Daphnia pulex: one gene and its partners. The protein of the gene in region 1 purifies or fractionates together with the protein of each later gene. This does not show direct contact. Links are inferred from orthologs where the notes say so. Each region holds a gene or a part of one and is shown on either strand. Other genes may lie near its edges. The genes, in order: G2/mitotic-specific cyclin-B-like, membrane-associated tyrosine- and threonine-specific cdc2-inhibitory kinase-like, cell division cycle protein 27 homolog, protein patched-like and anaphase-promoting complex subunit 4-like.

Region 1 (3,922 bases):
GTACTCTAAAATCGCAAATAGTGCTGTAGGATATCGTAGCCTTTCTTTCACTTTCATGTGTATGTAGTGTTGTATGCAATTATATTTAGCATATCCGCATTAGCCACTAGCGCAAAAGTCAACGCACTCATTTACGGTGATAATTTACAATGCCAAAGAACTGAGATTGCATGTTCAAAATCCATGTTCTTTTTCCACGAAACGCCCCAAATTCGTAAGAAAACTCGATGTTGTCCTGCGCTCTACATCAAACTTGAACATACCTATACTTTTCTTTCCGCTAGTCTAGACATCCAGGGGATAAGCCTACAAGTGTTCACGTTTTTACTGAAAAAAAGCCCAGATAGAATTCAGAGAAAGAAACAAACGTAGACATTTTTTGGTTACGCAAAATATATATTTCTTTTATCTATGTATTACGGTATACAAGCCTCTAAACCCATACGAATTGTTAGGATATCATGTGGAAGCCGAGAAGAATTTCGCAAATGCAAGAGAATTAAAAATACATGAACGTTCGAGATAATTTTGAAATAAAACACAAAGTCACGGTCAATGACTTGAAAAGGAAAAAAAAGTGCCGTTTAAAATTAGCAACCATCATTAGGATAAGAAACATGGGTTAAATATTCGAGTTTTTCAGCGCCATCTTGGCCAAGAAGGCATGAGTAGCTGGAGACCTGAGATGTGGAAGGGCGCTGATTTGGTAAAATTTCGAGACACGATACTTTCTCCGAATAGCCTACGAAAAATTTTAACAATTAACAAATATACATCACAGCACATTATAAACAACTCACCTGATGCTTGCTTGTTTCTGATTTGATAATCAAAGAACAAAATTTCTCAACAATCGGCTCCAGAGCTTCGTAAGTGTATCCAGAATAATAAATTAATGTGTCGTTCCATAAAACATCAATAGGGTTTTCATGTTCGTCAAGAATTCTGAATGTAAAACAACAATACATGAAACATGCAATGCGGTACACATATGCACAAAAACTTACTTGAGAGACAAGCACAACGAGGCTGCAGCAAGTTGTGATGGCATAACATGGCAGAACTCGTATTCTGGCAGCGACAATTCCATCAAATACTTCGACAAAGTGTGATGGAGAACGTCCACCTAATCGTTTCACAGAGCAAAATTGTAATCGGGTGAATCGACGAGGCGAAAAATACGATGCGACTTACCCAGTCATAGACGTGTGTAGCAGCTTTAGTGTATCGTCGCAAGAAATGAAGAGGAAGAGGGCGACCAAGATTGAAGTCCAATGCCTTCAGGATACGCAACTCCATGCGCAGAACTTCCTTCTTGGTGTAGGCCTTGTCCGACATGAAAACGAAATCGTCAATCTCTGGAGTGTACATCTCCTCGAATTTCGAAGCGATGAACATGGAAGTAAGGCCAACAAGCTGTAGATCATGTCGCACAACAGAAGGCTCAACCTTGAGAGAAAAATAAAATACACTAATTGGAAATAATGTAACAACAATGCAACTCACTTGAAGAAAACGATCCATGGTAGCCACAGTCAAGTACAATGTTTCCTGGAGCAGTTTGAAACGAATATGCACTTCCACCAGCCAGTCAATCAAAATTGTACGCATGTGTGGCTTGATCTTGTAACCAATTTCCATGTAATTGGACTTGATGACAGTCTTCTCCTACATTAACATTATATTAGTAAAACACTTAGAAATAAATGTAAAAGAAAAAAGTACCTCCAACTCATTCAGATACTTGTAGATGTCCTTGACATAGACAGCAACTAGCTGGGGATTAGTTTCAGTGTCAATATCGTCAAATTCCAAATTCTGAGAAGAAAATGATGATCGTCTCTGAGCCTCTACAGCAGGCTTGACAACTTCTTTTTCAGATGGAAGAGGTAAACTAGAGAAAATTTGATTTAAGATTTAGGACACACATAGACAGTCAATAATTTACTTCTCTATTTCTTGAATTTGCTTCTTTGCAACAGATTTGGAAGGCACATGTTGAGGTTTCTTAAAATCAACTTCAGAGACGACATTTGTAAGAGCCGATCTGTTGCTGCAAATGTCTCCCAGAACAGCCCTCTGCTTAATTGCTGATACATTAAAATTCCCACTTGGTGCCAGACTGCTCTTGCCTCTTGGCATAGCAATATTTTCACCTTCATCATGGACCTGCCATCCCATTAAACATACATGTAGAATTTTTAGCAGATAATTCACAACACTGATAGTTACCGATATAGCAGAGGGGAATACTTGTGTCACAGACATGATGTTACACTATTTCAATGGCTTGACTGATAATTTGATAAAATCCACGTCGATTCGTAAAACTCATCGGGCAATCAGCAGTCTTACAAGGAGTACGCCACGAGATGAAATCGAATGATGTAACTATAAATCTAAGCCCAAAATACACAGACGTTACGTTATAAGTTACAACACTACGTGACAAAGTTATGGAGATGGAAAGTAATCTTCATTACGACGGTTTAAATACTTAAGCAAGAGACCTTACCTTTCAGAGGATACAACTGCGAATGATTCTACTTGAAAAAACTTGGAAGCAGGTAAACTTGACAGGGAGGACTGAAAGGAATTTGTCGGGGGGTTGAGAACTACGATGTGACACAATGGCGGCATTTGAAAACAATACGGATTTTAAAATTCAATTCAAAAATGCTGTGTTGCCGTAGTACAGCGTTGACATTTGAGAAAATGTGATATATGTTTACGCTTTTGGAAAATAGGTTTTCTTTTCATTATTTAATTAAAAATGTGAACGATGTGATATTTTTTAACTTGCGTACTTGAAACTTTGTGCTGAATACATTTTTAAAAGTTACTTCTCAATGGCACGCATTATTTTCAGACTGTTGAAAATAATTTTTCTATTTGTGAATTATGGAATGTTTGTGCTGGACTAATGGCAGACTGGTAGCTAATATTTCGATTTTGCAAGCAACATTCAATCAGCCTTAATATGCTAATTGTCAGATTATTTTCCATTAATTTATTATGTAACAGCTAATTTGTTAGTAAAAAGTTGCTCAGTTGCTCTGGCTGCTCACCAGGGCACAGTAATATTGCATATTAGATATCATGACAGAACAAAGTGGACTCACAATTCTATCGAAGAGCCTGTTTCTATTTTACGAGTTCATTGTTCTCTGGAACTGGAAGCTTTGATTGCGGAACAAAGAAAGATTTTTTTTTTTTATTTGGGCGAAAATAAAATAAAAATAAACATTTCAGACAGATTTGAACCGTTGAGTGACCTTCTTATATCGACAGAAATTTAAATTATTTTTTAAAAAAATATTGGCCGGTTCGCAAGAGCCTAGCGCAAGTTATCAATCACATCAACAATATAGACCCCGTCATGTCTGTCGAATACGAACGCAACGTACAGCATTTTACACGCTGTGGGCCGAATATCGCAATGGGATTTTAATGATTTCCACGTTCTGAACAAGAGGTATCATCAGCTACTGAAGCAATCAGCGAACTGCGAGTATAGGTTGTCTTTCTTTTTCGTCTATATCTGATGGATTGTGTCTCTGTATATTCTTCGTCCCGCGAGCGAATTTTATGAATTCCAAATTTCTCTCAAATGAGATTATTGTCTTGAATTTCTGGTGCATTGATCTGAAAGAAATTTTAAAAAAAAAAAAAGGCGTAAATTATTCGTTCCATCCGCAGTGTGAATAAACTTACTGGAATCTTTACTACCTGCATTCCGATTTCTTTCTCGTTTCTTGTTCTTATTTAATGTTTTGATTTTTCAATATTATTTGTCCTGTTTAAATAGCCTAGCACCGAATCGCATCAGAAGAAAGAAGTGAAATATTGAGATTGAACAAATTGGTAATATGCGGGGCAGTGTGTGGAATGATCTGTAAAAACTGCTAACGAGGCTTGAACT
Region 2 (4,229 bases), on another chromosome or scaffold:
AGCCCTATGTTCGATGCTATTGTTTTGTGGCAAAGGTGAACTGTCATTAAGAGGACGCCCAAGAGTGCTGTCATTTCCACTAATTACTGCAGAAGATAAATCACTCACTTCATCTAAAAAGAAAATTGATTCAATCAGACAGAAGTTGACAAAATTGATGGCAATTCAAGTACTACCGTCAGAGAACGAAAAGTCGTTGGCGAAGTTGCAGGGTTGTGGCCGGTGTGTGACAGGCGTGGACGGCTTCGAGCCAAAGTCCGGTTTGCGCCATTTACGCGCCAGAGCGCGTATGGGCAAGAAGATGAGCAAAAAGAGCTGGAATAATCGGAAGAATAGCTCAACCAAATTGGCGCGGAATGAAAGGCGGGCGTTTTGCCAGCCCAGTTTAAGGCACCTCCATCGCCTTCTGGAACGCAGCAAAGGATGCTCCAGAAGTTGAGAGGCTGACGGACGGTTAGAAGCGTCTGGATTCATCATCATTTCCATCACGGCACTCAGATCTTTGGATAAGTCTGCTAGAAACGAAACCAAGGGTTAGTTTGCAAGAAGTTGGAGAAAATGGAATAGTTGTCACTAACGTCTGGTGATGGTGGGAGGAAGAGAACCATGTCTCAGTTCGTGCCACAAAGTGCCGTTGGCCGGCAGGTCAAGATCACAGGCCAGTTCGAGCAGCGTAATTCCCAGGCTGAAAATGTCTGCTTTTTTAGAGAAAATTCCTCCCAGGACTTCGGGAGCCAAGTACTTTGAATCTCCCTCGGTGGCGTCAAACAGATTCTGGTCAAACGAAATGGAAAAATAAAAATTATTGTTACAACGTCAAGTTTTTCATTAGACTCACTTCTTTGAGGTTAACAACGAGCCCAAAATCCCCGAGCTTACAAACACCTTCCATTGATAATAAAATATTCTCAGGTTTAACATCCATGTGAATTAAGTCATTGTCATGCAAATGTTGAATTGCCTAAATTGAAAATAGAAAAACTATTATTGAGCCAGTCAAAATGATTTAACAGATAGGAATTTTTCAAATACCAAGAGCAAGTCAATCATGTAGTCCCAGATAAGGTGCTCTGGTAGCTCATGCTGCTCTTCAGAAATCTCACTCAGACTGGACTGACAAAGCTCAAGCTGAATATAGAGAAATTGGTTCTCCTCCCACGCCTGATAAAAACGAACGCAATTGGGGTGGTGAGGGAGGGACTCCATTTTTCGAACTTCCTCCAGCTTCTCTTTACGATCTGTAGTCCCGCGAAACGGCACTCGTGATCGCTTGACGGCGTACATTCGACCATCTTCTTTGCTGCGAACACGAAACACGTCGCCGAAAGATCCAGAGCCGATGTTGGCCTCGATTTCAAAACATTGGCGAAAGAACGTGTCTTCCTTCGACAGATTGTAATGTGGGCTACTAATCAGCGCAGAATCCGATTTTGACTTGAACGAGATTGTGTGAGCTTTTTGGGGGCCAGGGCAACTATAATAGGCCGAAATAATCGGCGTAGGTGTTGGTGGTGCCCGTTTTTTATGGCCAGGTAGTGTCCTTTCCTGAAAATTTGACAAAAAGTGTTACAAAAATTCAAAGAAAAAACTGGACTTGAGCTAAAAATGTTACCTTTTTTGTGGAAAATGTATTTATGAGATTGAACTGGGGGACAGGCCTCGGAGTTACAAATTTCGAGTCCATTTGTCTGAGGATAAAAAATTGCTTTTCGATGTAATTGGGGGAGGAGGCAAGTTTAGAACTTCATCTAAATATATAGATAAGATAAGTTAATGCTGACAACAGTATTCTAATCTCAAACAAGGAATAATGAATAACAATATACCAAATTGCACCTGCTTGGACATTGGGTTAGACGCTTCACTTTGTCCTTATTTGGTATTGTTGCACTAAGAAGGATTCACTAAAGGTTAAACAAGAAAAATCCATTAACCAAATGAAGATGAGAATAAGAGGTGTCAATGCAAGAATAGTTCACCAACATGAATATGGTTAAATATTCACACGAACTTAGGTAACAATAACCAACAAGCCTCTGAACGTAACCGGTTGTTGGGGAAAGTTACCTCACAAGACGTGATCCATGGACTTTTTTGGAAGTTTAACAGCAGATTAAGAATCCTGAAAAATTCACCACGATAACAGCATGTGATTCTTTTTTCAGTAAAAAACAAGAAACAAGGATATTGTGAAAAGAAACTTTTTCAGCGAGAAGCAACAGGCGGGCTGATGTTGTTTTTGAAGGAGCGTCATCGGCAAGTGTTAACTGTGACTCATAGATGGCGCCGCGGACAAAATTATATTTGTTAATTCACATTGAATTTATCTTCTTATTCTTTCAAAATAAATATTTGATAATAAACAAAATTATTATTAACATTACTTTCTGACTATTCTTGTTTGATGATTAACTTATTTTGTTAAAATGTTAATATTATCAAAAATGGCGCTAGTAAAACAGATGAGGCTTCTGCCCGTAGTTGTGAGACTTTTGGCGTCTCTTTAAAAAAACAAAAAATCGGATTTTGCCACGTTGCGTTTCTTCACTTTTCCTCAAATAAATTAACAAGAAATTTTTCGAAGCCCATAAATTTTATTGCTCTAATATAATCTATTAATTTTTTTTCAGCTTAACCTTCTCAATCAAATGATGTGAGGGAAATGGTGCTCACTTGCACGTAATAATGGTATAATTTTAAAGCTGTTATTTGTCATTTGTCATATAAAAATCATTGAGCATTAAGGGTCGTTATCGTAGAAATTTTAGAAAAATTTATAAATACCGAATGACGCTGTATAGCTGTAGAAAAGATTTGAAGCAATATCTAAAAAAAATGATCAGAGAAATTTCCAGTTCGAATGTGGAACTAAGACTTTTGTGTTTTCAAAAAAACGTGTGTAAATGTGTTTATCAAAATCAGGGCAGCATCAAGTATGGCTCAGGGGAAATCCTCCATATTTTAGCTCTAGATAAAAATTAACAGAAGATAAAAGTGTTGACTGGTTCGGGTTTGCCATACGCATATTACAAGTGATGATAAGAAAATGACGCAAGTCGGACAGTATAGATACCAATATTACTTATGATATCGCTAATTTATATAACTGCGCAGAAAACACACAAAGGTTGCACCTTTAAAAAAGTTACTTTTTTTCTCGTCAAGGGAAAATCATCATGCTTGAAAACATTAAGTGCCATGGCGAAGAATCCGTTCGTGATTTTTATTTATTGCCCCCCCCCCCCTCCAAATTTAGACGCAGGCAGTGGGGTAGAATTCAGCCCAGCTCTTGTCTTTCATGTCGACGTAATCGGCACCAACGACACACGACTTTTAAGTGTGTTCCAATCGACTTCTAAAGATATTTTTTTAACAACATTAATTTTGAAAATGAACATCGATATCGTGTTTTTTTGTAAATGATTTACGATTCTGGATAGTTGTTCAATTCAGAAATTTCGACGCTTCTAACGTAGATGTGGTCGTTGCAAAACAGACCACAGGTATTGAAAATAGTGCCGTCATACTTCCAGTACAACTCGACGCGTTGGATGTTACCCACGTTGAAAGAATCGACGAAAAAAGAGAATGAGTTTGTCCCATGAACAAACTTGTGGCTTTTGCTATAATTATGGAATAAATGATTATTAGCATTTTAGGATGTGCACATTGCGCAGCTTTAGCTGAAATAGATCTATACTCGGCTACGGTAACGTCGATCAGCTGTCCAAGCGTTCCATACAAAGACATACGCATTGTGCCATAAACGAAAGCTTCAGCTTACGATGGATAAGCGAGGTTGACTTTAATGCCGTAGTGGTAGGCCTACTCTAAGAATGAATTCAAAAGTAATTAAACATTTGTCCAAGGGTTATTGTCCATTTCAGATCAACTTACTGATGTAATGGACATCTTTGTCGGTGTCGAACAGTAGATTCACGTAAGTTCTATCACGCATCGGATAGAGAGCGGCGTCCATGCCGAATTTGGCGCAATTCAAGTTGTCGGTTCCGCACGAGGTACACTCACCCTTCGTTCAAATAAACTTTTAGTAATTAAAAGTAGGCTAGTAATATAATTCGATGAATCAATACTCGATGGAATGCGTCGTTGTCAATGCATTCGTAACCGACGTAGTTGTAACCGGGCACAAGTGAATCGATGAAAAATTCGATGCAGCGCAAGTGATTGCAGGCAACCAGCTCTCGGCCACCGGTGACCATGTCTTC
Region 3 (4,199 bases), on another chromosome or scaffold:
AAACTCCAAACTTAAAATAATTGTTTTGTCTACTTACTCGATACTTGTCCTGTTTCCTAGCGTTTCGTGCTTTATAATTTGTCGATCACCGACAGTTTGTTTCATACTCATTTGAATTACTGGTTCAGGTTCCAGCAGTACAGGCTCATTAGTGGACAAATTACAATCATCAGGAGTCGAGTTGTCGCTAACCTGTTCTAAACGTCGTTTACGCATCCATTGGTTTTTATATACATCCAAAGGCCTGCCACAATATCGTACCTACATCATTTAAAAATCTGAACTAAATTTACTGAACTTGATAACGAGAATTTAAACATATTTTATGCTTACTGATGACCAACCACAACCATATTTCTGTTCGGGATTAACAATTTTTTTGCAGCGCAAGGCCCACGCCGAGGGTGAACTAAAGACTTCTTGAACTTCAGCAGAAAAAATTTTTCCATCTGCCAGTAAGTCCCCATTAAATTTTTGTCCCTAAATAAATTCACATAGGGAATAGAAGTTTTAAACTTGGAAGATAAGAAATCTAAAAGAAATATCGTATAATGTTTACCATGTACTCTAGTGACATAGCACCTTCTTTTGGTTGAAGGATGTTATCTTCAAGTAACATTTGCAATGTGACTCCTCTACCAGTAAATCCACCAGCAGTTTTGGACTTTTTCTCATTCAGTTCTTCATCTTCATTGCCATCCATGTTATCCTGTAATTTTTGTCATAAAATTGTTATTCATTGGAATTTTAATAGCACAAAGTATTATTAATTAATTACCTCTCCTTCCATTTCAGGATCTAATGTTGCATTGTGGGTTTCAGACATGTTACATTGCTCATTTGTGTGTTCAACACTAACTGATGTGATCTTTTGTTGTTCTTGAGGATCTGCTTGATCACTAATACTTGAGTCTTCTGATGCTTCAATCATGCTTATGCCCTGTATTAAGAACACAGCTTTAATATTGCTAAACAAAAGGTTTACAACTAAAAAGAATTAAATTTGAAAAATATTTGTTTATTTGAAGTAGATTAATTGAAAAAAGGACTATTAGAAGAACTAAAAAACACTTAACTAAAAATTCATATTTTAGAATTACGCGCCTTTTTTATTAATTGTTATTAAAAAAACGTCTGATTTACCTATTCCAGTACCATAATTACAATTACAACCACGTTATTTCGAACAATCTAGGCCAAATGACAGTAGTTAATACATTGCAACACTTAAATTTACCTGAATAAATAACTTGTTGACAATTTCGAAAGCAAATTGTCCAAGTGCGGTTTAATAATAAGATTGATAAAACTGACCGTTGAAATGTCAAAAAATGTCAAAACTGAAGCATCACGATTTGAATCAATTCATCGAATATCGTAGATTGATCGATACTTAGTGAAGGCGATACAGCGATACTCGAAACGGTTTGGTTAAAAAGAGGAAGGGGCAAAAAAAACTTTGTGTTACATTAAAACGTAAGCTCCGACGGCAATTTGGTGGAATTATTTTGACTTAAATTGATTTCCGTCCATGGGAATTCAAACTTGATTGTATATCTTCATAGATTTCATATGTTAACTCATTACTAGTCAACATGTTGGTACAAGAACCTGTCCAGGTTAGTAACATGTTAATCAATGATGTTTAGTGATCTAAAAATTGCATATATTTAGGGTGTACAATGAAGGGGGTTTCTTTGTATGCCAGTTTTTGGTTCATTTTCAATAATGGTTAAATTTTTCTAAAATGCAGGCGGCTATCTGGCATTGTCTTAATCACTACAACTATTGGAATGCTACTTTTCTTGCTGAGAAACTTCAGGATGAAAGTATTATGTGTATACTTAATTTGTAAAGGTTATTTTTCCATAAATCTTATGTTTCTTTCAGTTAATAATGAGGAAAGCTTGTATCTTCTGGCCACTTGCTACTATCGGTCAGGAAAAGCGAATCAAGCAAGAAGTTTACTGCAATCAAAAGGAACTCAGTCGCCACAATGTCAATATCTGTTAGCCAAATGTTGTTTAGATCTGAATAAGTATGTGGTTATTCTCATTGAAAATAATTAAAATCTAAAGAATGTGTTTTTTTTTAGGCTTGCTGAAGCAGAAGGAACATTGATGGGTGGAAATATTTTCAAACAAAAATCTTTGGATGATGTTGTGACTGAATTTGGAGATGCTGCTGCTTTTGCCCTAGTTTTGTTGGGTCAAGTTTACATGCAGACAGAACGAAAGTTCAAAGCTATAGAAGTACTCAACAGAGCTCTTAAGCTTAATCCATTCCTGTGGGCTGCTTTTGAGCTTCTTTGTCGGCTTGGTGAAAAACCAGATGCAGAAGATGTCTTTCAGTTAGAGGGATTGGATAATTTCTCTCATTGTCATGGAACAAACCCAATAGCTTCATTGATCACTGCTCAGATCAATCAATCACATGATGCAACCACTAAAGTACATCCTCATGAACCAATGTCTGTTGACCAAATCTCCACTCCTATACTTCAAGTCCCTGCAGCTGATGTTATAGTAAACACAAGGTAAACATGGCATATTATTTAAAACACAAATTATTTTGAGATTTAATCACCATTTCTTTACACAACTTGTGTATTTTACTATATTTCTAGCACTCCCCTACCATGTGTGCCTCTTATTCATCACAATATACCTAATTTGACACCAGATGATCAAATGATTCCCTCTATACCGTTGACGAGTACCATGGCTCCAACACGTTCCAGAGCACGGTCGTTCCGGCTTCGATCAGTCTTTAAAGCCGGTCAAGCGCTGTCTCCCATGTCCCCCAAGTATAATTTAAGTTTCCATTCACTTGATGACACTTTATTTAATTTACGTAATTTAGTTTTGGCATCATACCTTTGGATATGTCTTCAGCAAGCGATGCTTCTCAAAGTTCGATGGTCTATTTGTGTCCCTCGCTAGCCCCACCGGTCTCTGAAACAAAAGAAGCAAAGATAATGCCTAAACGGGTATGATTTTTTTCCTTTTAAACAAATAATATAGAGTGTTTCATAATCTCTCCAAATGCTTATGCTGTTTTTAGTTGGGTGGTCGTCGTGAAGCAGCTAGCACTGCTCCAAGCGCGCCTTCACGTATGGGAGTTTTCTGCCAATCCGGAAATACAGCTACACCGACATTGTCTTCACCCCCAGCCGCTAACGTGAGGAGAAGTACACGACTTTACAGGTTTCAGTAACATTTGTGTATATATAAATTCGTATATTATTAATTAACGTATTCTATTTTGATCACAGTTCGAACAATTCCGTTAAGGAGAATAACAAAAGTAGCTCTCGTTTTGTTGTGCCCAAGTTGCCACTGAAGCGTAGCAAATCCAAACTTACTAAAGGTGATACCCCGGAAAGCGGATTAGCACCTATTAGCGATTTTCCAGAGCTAGTAGGAAAAATGGATAGAGAGGATGAGAAACAAGCTACCCTACCTACTCATTTAACTTCGGTGCAGACTCCACCATCAAATTTGATTCAAGAGGCAGTCCAAATGCAAAAGCAGTCAGCTGAAGGACTTATGTCTCTTCTTCGGATTGTAGGCAAAGCATTTTCACACCTGACTTCATATGAGTCTCGTCAAGCGATTGACACAATAGAATGGCTCTCCGCACGCCACAAAAGATCAAGCTGGGTCCTCTCTCTTATGGCTAAAGCTTACTTTGAACTGGCAGACTACAAGCAAGCTACTAGGTTAGTTTTACTTTTATCTTGTGTAACAGTTTGACAGGAAATTGACAGATATTTTTTAATTATTAAGGTTGTTTCAAGAAGTGCGTGAAATGGAGCCATATCGCACTGATCTGATGGAGTATTATAGTACTGCTCTCTGGCATCTGCAGCAAGAAGTGTCACTCTCGGCATTAGCACAAGACATGCTGGAACAAGACAAAATGTCAGCTGCGACTTGGTGTTGTGCCGGAAATTGCTTGGATTTGCAGAAAGATCGCGAACAAGCTCTAAAGTTTTTCCAACGAGCAATCCAAGTTGATCCTAAATTTGCTTATGCATACACTCTTTTGGGTCATCAGTATCTTGCCCTCGAAGAAACGGAGAAAGCCATGGATTGCTTTAAAAATGCTGTGAGAGTTGATCCTATTCATTATAACGGATGGTAAACCTTCTTTAACAAAGCAGCATTAATTGATTTGTTCTAACTTTTTGTTTGTGA
Region 4 (3,942 bases), on another chromosome or scaffold:
TGATCGCTGGATTTCCAAAATTCAAATGGGGAGACGCAATCGTCGGAAGTGATGGAATAATAGAGAGAAAAAAAGAAGATGGAGGTCAGAAAAGAATAAGGAAAAGAATAGGAGAGAGAGAAAAAATCTTTTCCTATTGTAACGAGTTTGACGGGTCAATTGAGAAAAGGGACGACCGATAGCCTCTCTTCTCGCTCTACAAGAGTAACACACACGCACAAATGAAAAGAAGAAGAAAAGTTTTCAGGTACGCTGGCTGGATACAATGGACCAAAGAAGAAAGGGGGGAAGGAAAAGAAAGAGAAGAAGAAGTAAAAAAAAAAAAAAAAACATTCTTTTCTAGCTCGTAAATTCTCTCTCCACCCCGCTGTCTTTTCTTCCTCTTGTGCCCAACTTTGGGTGTGCTGTACCTTCGTTCCCTTCCGTTGGGTGGTCCAAACAAGAATTTTATAACTTCTCTCTCTCCAATGTTGTTTCTTTTTTTCTTCCTCGGGTGACAATTTGGCCGTACGTCATCATCAGCCAAAAATAAGAGAAGAAGAAAAAACCTGCGTGATCAGGTATGTTCTTCACAAAAGGCCGCCAAAAGAACCTAGCAGCTGTTTTTTAATTTTTACTTTGGAAAATAACTTTTCTTCTTCAAGGGGTGGAAGGGGGGTGTCTGATTTCGGAGAGGGGGGAAACGACAGGACCATATGGAACCCCCCGAACAACAACTACATTTTCCTTTTTTTTTTTTTTTGACAGAAGGATGAAAAATTTCCCATGTGAACATGTGTGCAGGTTTGGCTTGGCAAATAACACGATTCTCTTGTGAGAAGGGGGGGGGGGAAATACCGCGACCTGCAGAGAGTTCATTAAAGATACGGTCCAGGGGAATCAAATCCAGCTGGAGGCTGCCGCCCTAATGAAGACATGTTCTCTCCCCTGGCCATCTAGAATGGATAGAGACCTCGTCTTGCTGTTGATTGTTGGGTAGGTGCTAAACATTCCAGAGGAGAAATAACAAAAAGAAGAAGAAGAAGAGGGGTTCTATAGTAAATAGCGGACCTGGTAATGGCCACCAATCGTGAAAGAGAATCATCCGATGCGGGCGGATTTGGGGCAAAGGGGAACATAAAACACCCTCTCTCTCTCTCAAACAAGGGCCGTCTATTTTCGGGTGTTCCAGCCAAGTTCTTTTTCCGGTCTCTCTCTCTGTGTATGTGTTGGCAATGCCGGAGAAAAAGAAGAAGCGGATGGAGAGCCCAACAACGCATCAATGGATGAGGAGGGGGAGATCCTATTTTGAAGGGATCAAAAGTGTTGTATTACCTTCGACCCAGAGTTTCTCGACGTCCGTTTGAATGCTGGCGGATTTGAGGCCGACGCAGAAGGTGGACAGGACGAGGAGTCCAACGAAAAGGACTTTGCCCGCGTGCCGTTGGACGAATCGGCCCAGGTGGAAGAGATGCCACTGAAGTTTCGTCCTTAACCACAGCGCCGCTTTGTTGCCTGATGCTTTACCCTATTGGAAAAATAAATAAATAAAAGAAAATAGAGACGTCAGAAACGAACAAAAATAAAAATCTATGAGATTCCGGAATGTTTTTATATCCTTCCAGCGCAGCCCCCTTGAATCAGTTGGGCAGCAGCGAATGGTTGTGGAAAGGAGGAAAAACAAGTTAAAAAAGGAGAGGTAAAGGAAAGAGAGTGGCTGATGGGTTTTTGTGTTGGGGCCTACGCCCTTGAGCGATGGCTTGGCCTCAACTGTTTCTCTTTCTCTCTCTTGGTTGGTAGTACACAGTCGGTTGTTGCAGCAGGGGCCCCCGTTGTTGTTGATGTCTTCATTCCGTCGGGCGATGCCAGAGCCCCCTATATACCGACGGTCTATACCATCCACCCGAAAATATACACCTCACCTTGGCATAGCCACCACAGACTTTTTCTCTGTGTTTTTTTCGTACTTACACGCAGCATAAATTATCTTATGCAATTGTTTATTCACAAGAAGAAGAAGAAGATGTTTTATAAAGACGCACCTTTTTGATTTGATGAAGGGCGAGCCGGGCATCTGTCCAGCTCGTCCTGGTCAACAAGTCGGAATCGACGCTGCTGCTGGTGCAGAGTGCCGCGTAAGCGTCTTGAGGTGTCAGTGAAGAAGTTTTCGAGCATCCGCCATTCGATTTCTCCATTGCGGCGTGCGAGTGCATCGTTATGGCCATGACACTACTACAGCGCCGTTCGTGATGATTCGTTTTCGTCTGCAAGCAATTCCTCGTCTCCCGACACGTCGGGCGATTTCAACGGAAACACACTCGGCGGCTGCGGCACTGAACAACAACAACAACAACAACAACTTTGACGATGATGATCACCAGCAGCGGTCGCAACCGACCAGCAGCCTAACATGGCCTCGTTTCATGACGGGCTAAACAACACACAACCATGGGGCGAAATTTCGTGACACACCGAACAAATTTCTAGGGGGAGGAAAATAGAAAAGAAATGGCTGATTCTAACGGCACAACAACACACTGTGGAAGAAATTGTTAGGGGACGAACACCATCCGTCGTCGTCGTCTTTTTGGTTAATCCGTGTTGGTGATAGAAACCAGAAAATGTCGTCGTTCTTTCGAGTTTCTTTTGGTTGGGGACTTGAAAATTCTTGTTTCGTTCACACACTAAATTTCTTCAAATTCACACACACTTTGGAAGAAAAAAATATAGATATTTCACACTCGGTTTGTGTGTGTGTGTTTCAGAGAAAGAGACACACGACTCTTCTTGTAGCTTCCTGCTTGTCGACTGAAAACTCGAGGAGAGATGGCCGCTAGCTTAGTACACGCACGCCCCGCTAGACCTCCTCCCCCCCCCCCCCGCTACCACCACCCAGTGTCCCTCCTTCTTTTTCGAGTTTGGCTGGGGATACCCGCAGGCTAAGGAAATTTTTCGGGTCGCCCGCCCACCGCGTCAACCACCACGTGGCGGATCGACAAACTACAGCGCGCCATTTTCTTCTTTTTCAAGTATATTTTTTTTAAAAAGGAAAATTTCGTTTTGAAATGTTGGAAAAGATGCGATTAATAGTTATAAACGGAGGAATGACTTTTGGTCTAATCGGCTCAGCAATCGTTCAATGTGTAATTGAATATTCGGGACAGAGTTCTCCAAGTGGGGAAATTTGAAACCCAAGACTTTGAAAAATGGCAGCAGCAGCGGATCCGACTCGGATTCCATTCATTGGACCTTCGTTTTTCTATTTCTTTTTTAAAAAGTTCCATCCACCATCTAAAAGAGACAAAACATTTTCCCAGTGAAAGGGGGCGCGAGTGTGTATAGCGTACACACTGTAGTTCGGACTTGTGGGGGTGGTCTTAGCCGTTGCCTGGGCAACACGCAGAACACCAAACCCACGGGCAATACACAAAAGCCCTGGACCCCACACGACGGCCAAGAACCCCAAAAACCTTTTTTTCTTCTTCTTCTTCTTGTATATATACACACACACATGCACAACTTCCTCTTTTTAATTCCAACAACTTTGCTCACGTAGACGAAAAAATTTCTACCACACACACACACACACATCATTTCTTTAGAGAAAAAGTCAAATGTTGGTGGAGATTTATTTCGATCACGACGAACCAACGAACCAACCGTTTTCCAATGTTTTTCGTCTGCACAGCCCAACTTGTGTGCTGCACTGCATCCCTGAGAAAAGAAGTCATTATTTTAATGACTCTATTCTCTTGTCAGTTTCTCGTGCCCGCGTTCTTTTACGGTTATAGTCACACAGGTAAAAAAGAAAGAAAGAAAGAAGAGTTTTTTATTTTAAAAAAGAAAAGATGGTGTGGAAGAAAAGAAAGAAAAAAGAGAGTGGCGCTGTTAGTGTAATCTGGTGGCGGATGTGCCTGGGCAATTACGGCCCAGGCCAAAACTTTAATTGCCAACGAACTTTGA
Region 5 (4,027 bases), on another chromosome or scaffold:
CAAACGGTCATGTCAAATAACGGAAAAATCACTGCCAGACTAAAAATAGGAACTAGTAAAGACAACAAATCCGAATCGCCTAAAAAAAAGAATGTTGGAATAATATTCAATCTCTGTTGAATATAGGATGAAGCTTGCTTGTTGGCTAGGCACGGATGAACTCTCCTTTCTCCTATTATTTCGAGTCTATATCGACGGTGGTTGCTATGCATTACCCCGCCGTTCGCAGTGTCCCCCCGGAGTCACCTCAAACCGACCAGAACGTTGGTGGTCCCGCTAGACTGCTGCATTGAATACAAATAAGATCCAACTCCATAATCGTGCCTTTTTTTCCAGTCTCTAGAGTCCAACGAATAACGAGCACTGATACGCATAATCCACAATCATTGAACTGTGTGAACAGGAGAACGTCAGCAAGCAAAAGAAAGTAGTTGTGTGGAAATCGAAGTTCTTGTTGCTCCTCATCCTCTTCAGGAGCACTATATAGGCTAGGTACTGGTACAATATACATTTAGAGAAGATGATTTTTCTTATTTGGATATCGACTTTTTCTTTCTCCCATCTGACTACGTGTTTTTTTTTATTTCGTTTACAAGTTGCTACGAAAACACAATCGTCTAGACGTAAAAGCACAAATTCGCTGATAACGAATAAATAATGAATCAATGTTGTGCCACTCCGAAGGAGCAGAAGTGTTCCCCCCGCGCGTGAGAGCTTCTGCACATTGCACGAAATGGGAGACCCCGTCAACGCCCACACGTTTTCCTAAGGCTAAGTGCGGTAAAATATTAGGCAACTGCTACTGTATATAGCAGCATGACGTTTTATTATTATCAACGACCGGCGACAAGACAAGCAGAAAACAGAGCAAACTCTCATGAAGGTAAATAATCGTGTCGCAAAGGGAGTTCGTTATTTTCCGATCGATTTCTTTAGCACCCGCGAACGCACGGGAGCGATGCTTCGCTTAATCCTCGATGCCTAAGAATAGCGCTCATTTTTTACGTGGTGAGGTTATCAACTGGGTTTCTGTTTGGCCAAGAGATTATCCTATTTGCCAGAAACCCGAATTCAATTTCGCATCCATTTACGGATAGACGAGCTTATGCTTGTTGAAAAGATGCGGCGGCAAATGCCTTAAAAAAATAAATTTGGGGAGACATTCTATCACACTGTGTGGCTATTTATTCAGTTAACGAACTACAGCCATGGACGTCAAGAGCCATGCGATACAATTGGCCTCCAGTGGTGACTGAAATAAAAAGCGAATAACGTTGAACACTTGAAGGTAACACGTAATAAAAAGGTAGAATTCAAATCTGAATGTTTCCAGGCAGTTTAAAAATCGACCGCTAGATGTACTCAAGTTGCCTAGAGAAGAAACCGAAAAAAAGTTCGAAAAGTTGTAAATACATGTTCCTTAATTTCTGTCTAATCGAGATTGTCGTGTAAAAACACAATCAGCTTAAAATGGTGTCGTGTATGATGAGACAGAGTGACGAAAAACACATTCTTGGAACTGCGTCAACAGAAATCCTTTTGTGGTCTTCCAGACGAGATCTGATTGCCGTCTCAAACAGCTCTGGTGAAAACTTGCAATCCTTCTTTTTCCCATTGTGTTACTATGATAATAAAATTTGTTTTGTATGTTATTTTCTTGTAGGTGAGGTTTTTCTGAGAAGGTTGTCATGGAGCAAAGTTTGGAAGCTTTCTAAAAGAGGTGATGGTGTCAAAGTCACAGCGATCGTTTGGAGACCAGACAGTGTGATACTAGCTGTAGGATACAGTTCTGGGCATGTGGTTCTAGTTGACGTTGAATCTGGAGAAGTAGTACACACATTCAACCCATGTGAGGAACCCATCACAGCTCTTTCCTGGGAAAACTGCAGCACAAGTGTGAAAGAAGAGGCAGACAATTTTTTGCTGCCAGAACTGCTGCCTCAACCATTGAAAGTTAACTCTTCAAAGCTAGATGCTGGGTCAGCACTTGATGGCGACAAAGGATTGAAACATGAAGAATTACTGAGCATTTTGTGGATTGGACTAAAGAATGGGTTAGTTTACGGATTCGCCTTTGGACTCTTTCCTTGCTGCCTTCTAAAACTTTCAGAAATGAGTGGTGGGAGCGATTCAATCGGACCTGTACGAAGTGTTTTCCCGAATGGTGATCACAGCCAACTGTGTTTACTAGCCGATGTTCGTGCCGGATCCTCAGAAGTTTTACTCATGACTGTGGAAACCCCACTCATAACTCATTGTTTGAAAGAGTTGTACGGTCTAGGATTTCTCTATCGGCAGATAACTGGCCTCATGGACTGCCTAATCAGTGCTCAGAAAGCTCTACAAGAAGCCTGGGAGGATGCACTAGTCGACCTCGAATCGAAAATGGTTCGCTATGAAAGCAACGACGGCAAGAGTAGCTTATCTGTCGACTTGATGGAGCTCCTGATGTTTGGCCACGCCGGGATCAAGCTGGAGAAATTTCTTGTTACCGATTTGACTGACAAAGGATTGAAACGAATCGGCCAAGCCGTAGAGTTATCCTATAGCAACATGCAGAAACTGCTCATCAAACACATCGTGTGTGCCAACTACCAACTGTCGCACTATTTGACACAACTTTGCGGGCTGGCCAAACAAGAAGATCGTTTCTCATGCCTCGGCCTCCAAGTCAATTCGTGTTTAGCTGCATACCGGGCGGCCGGCTCTTTTACCGCCAAAACCGCTGAGCTTCAACAGGTGATCGATGGTTCTGTCAAGTACCTCAAGACATTCTTCCGCTGGCTTTACGTTACCATCTTGCGCCTCTCGGACGAGCCTATCCCACCCGAGCTTGCCACCAGTACCCAGCAAGATGTACGGTTTATCGCCAACTTCCTCGCCAAAGATTTTGAGACCGATGGACAAGTACGTCTGGATCGTATTGGGCAATATTTGAGGAATGAGCCGTTGACTTTTGTTGCCAGCTCTAAAACTAGACCCTGGGACATGTTGATAGAAGCTTGTCCATCTATTGCGAATCTTCAGGACTCGGACTTATTTCAACCCCGTGCTGAACGCTCTCTTGCTCAAGAGTTCGCCCATTTGGAACATCAGGTCAAAGCCAGTTTCGAAGCTATCCCTTCAGCTGTTGGACAGACTGCGTCGTTGCCGTTTATCACCGACCTGACGTTAGATTGTCCTTCGGACAGTCTGGACAAGATCAGAATCACAACACGATCCATCAACCAACCAAAAGATCGGTGTAATCTTCTTGGCTTGACAAATTCGACCACTCATTCTTCAGGATTTTACCTGTTTGAATTCGCCTCCGAGAAGGAACGTAAGAACTTGACTCGAGCAGCATTCTTCTCCTTTGGCAAGTGCGACCATCTACCTCCTGGCGAATATAAAATAGCTGATCTGCAGTTCTATAACAACGAGATTATGTCAGTTTTGCTTTCGATCGAACGCAGCACGAATAGCATCTTCGTACAACTCAGTCTATGTCTGTTACGCGAACATTTGGCTCCCGTTGTGTCACGGCGAGGACCTTTTAACTCGTCCTTCCATTCAGACGTTTTCGTTTCATCAGTTCTCAGCCAAGGCAATCTTCGATCAGTGGATGTCAATACCTTTATTGAAGCAAGCTCGTTTCGTGTCTTAAACGACTTTCAGGCTACTACCCTCGGTCTATCGTCCAGTCGAAAGGTTGCCGCTATCTTTTCTTCGTCAAAAAGGAAGGTTCGCATATTTGACATGGAAGTTGAAGAGGAAGAAGACGTCGAAGACGAGGATCAGGACATTGAGGATGTTTCAGACTTATCGCACGGTACGTAAAAGTGAAAACCTGGTTAACTTTCAAATTGTTTATTATTAACAAGGTATGTTAATGGAATGGCATTTTTATCGCAGATATATCAAAAGATGGAGGAAATCAAAAGGATATCAGCGACGTGGATATGGCCGTCTCTCCCTGATGGACTATTAGGACCAAACATCTTGCTGACAGTTCATCAGATGAAATCGTCCATGTGTTCGTGATGCC

The links.
Region 2: the proteins of G2/mitotic-specific cyclin-B-like (region 1) and membrane-associated tyrosine- and threonine-specific cdc2-inhibitory kinase-like purify together in Homo sapiens (affinity purification with mass spectrometry; 5 studies listed by BioGRID and IntAct, with this or other methods). This does not show direct contact. The link is inferred for Daphnia pulex from reciprocal best matches to the Homo sapiens genes CCNB1 and PKMYT1.
Region 3: the proteins of G2/mitotic-specific cyclin-B-like (region 1) and cell division cycle protein 27 homolog purify together in Homo sapiens (affinity purification with western blotting; 6 studies listed by BioGRID, with this or other methods). This does not show direct contact. The link is inferred for Daphnia pulex from reciprocal best matches to the Homo sapiens genes CCNB1 and CDC27.
Region 4: the proteins of G2/mitotic-specific cyclin-B-like (region 1) and protein patched-like purify together in Homo sapiens (affinity purification with western blotting; 3 studies listed by BioGRID and IntAct, with this or other methods). This does not show direct contact. The link is inferred for Daphnia pulex from reciprocal best matches to the Homo sapiens genes CCNB1 and PTCH1.
Region 5: the proteins of G2/mitotic-specific cyclin-B-like (region 1) and anaphase-promoting complex subunit 4-like purify together in Homo sapiens (affinity purification with western blotting; 3 studies listed by BioGRID). This does not show direct contact. The link is inferred for Daphnia pulex from reciprocal best matches to the Homo sapiens genes CCNB1 and ANAPC4.

The regions. Positions count from the first base shown.
Region 1 is NC_060017.1:7,280,057-7,283,978, forward strand, and holds G2/mitotic-specific cyclin-B-like, read right to left. Parts: upstream 2,663-3,922; 5' UTR 2,516-2,662; intron 2,400-2,515; 5' UTR 2,269-2,399; coding exon 2,233-2,268; intron 2,170-2,232; coding exon 1,949-2,169; intron 1,895-1,948; coding exon 1,726-1,894; intron 1,669-1,725; coding exon 1,507-1,668; intron 1,450-1,506; coding exon 1,195-1,449; intron 1,127-1,194; coding exon 1,008-1,126; intron 946-1,007; coding exon 801-945; intron 743-800; coding exon 623-742; 3' UTR 506-622; downstream 1-505. UniProt on the Homo sapiens protein: Essential for the control of the cell cycle at the G2/M (mitosis) transition.
Region 2 is NC_060028.1:2,255,469-2,259,697, forward strand, and holds the start of membrane-associated tyrosine- and threonine-specific cdc2-inhibitory kinase-like, read right to left. Parts: upstream 2,802-4,229; 5' UTR 2,785-2,801; intron 2,693-2,784; exon of another isoform or gene 2,268-2,692; 5' UTR 2,068-2,267; exon of another isoform or gene 1,984-2,067; intron 1,905-1,983; 5' UTR 1,827-1,904; intron 1,749-1,826; 5' UTR 1,685-1,748; coding exon 1,613-1,684; intron 1,546-1,612; coding exon 1,033-1,545; intron 962-1,032; coding exon 839-961; intron 775-838; coding exon 579-774; intron 516-578; coding exon 177-515; intron 114-176; coding exon 1-113. UniProt on the Homo sapiens protein: Acts as a negative regulator of entry into mitosis (G2 to M transition) by phosphorylation of the CDK1 kinase specifically when CDK1 is complexed to cyclins. Mediates phosphorylation of CDK1 predominantly on 'Thr-14'. Also involved in Golgi fragmentation.
Region 3 is NC_060018.1:4,689,440-4,693,638, reverse strand, and holds the start of cell division cycle protein 27 homolog, read left to right. Parts: upstream 1-1,396; 5' UTR 1,397-1,595; coding exon 1,596-1,619; intron 1,620-1,753; coding exon 1,754-1,829; intron 1,830-1,890; coding exon 1,891-2,038; intron 2,039-2,095; coding exon 2,096-2,536; intron 2,537-2,626; coding exon 2,627-2,806; intron 2,807-2,862; coding exon 2,863-2,989; intron 2,990-3,063; coding exon 3,064-3,206; intron 3,207-3,274; coding exon 3,275-3,721; intron 3,722-3,788; coding exon 3,789-4,142; intron 4,143-4,199. Other genes in the region: MPN domain-containing protein-like, read right to left, coding at 38-261, 334-480, 560-709, 779-931. UniProt on the Homo sapiens protein: Component of the anaphase promoting complex/cyclosome (APC/C), a cell cycle-regulated E3 ubiquitin ligase that controls progression through mitosis and the G1 phase of the cell cycle.
Region 4 is NC_060018.1:5,081,381-5,085,322, reverse strand, and holds the start of protein patched-like, read right to left. Parts: upstream 2,804-3,942; 5' UTR 2,205-2,803; coding exon 2,022-2,204; intron 1,508-2,021; coding exon 1,315-1,507; intron 1-1,314.
Region 5 is NC_060021.1:8,254,079-8,258,105, forward strand, and holds the start of anaphase-promoting complex subunit 4-like, read left to right. Parts: upstream 1-1,217; 5' UTR 1,218-1,470; coding exon 1,471-1,585; intron 1,586-1,663; coding exon 1,664-3,811; intron 3,812-3,833; exon of another isoform or gene 3,834-3,894; coding exon 3,895-3,959; 3' UTR 3,960-3,995; coding exon of another isoform or gene 3,996-4,027. Other genes in the region: condensin-2 complex subunit H2-like, read right to left, coding at 3,996-4,027. UniProt on the Homo sapiens protein: Component of the anaphase promoting complex/cyclosome (APC/C), a cell cycle-regulated E3 ubiquitin ligase that controls progression through mitosis and the G1 phase of the cell cycle.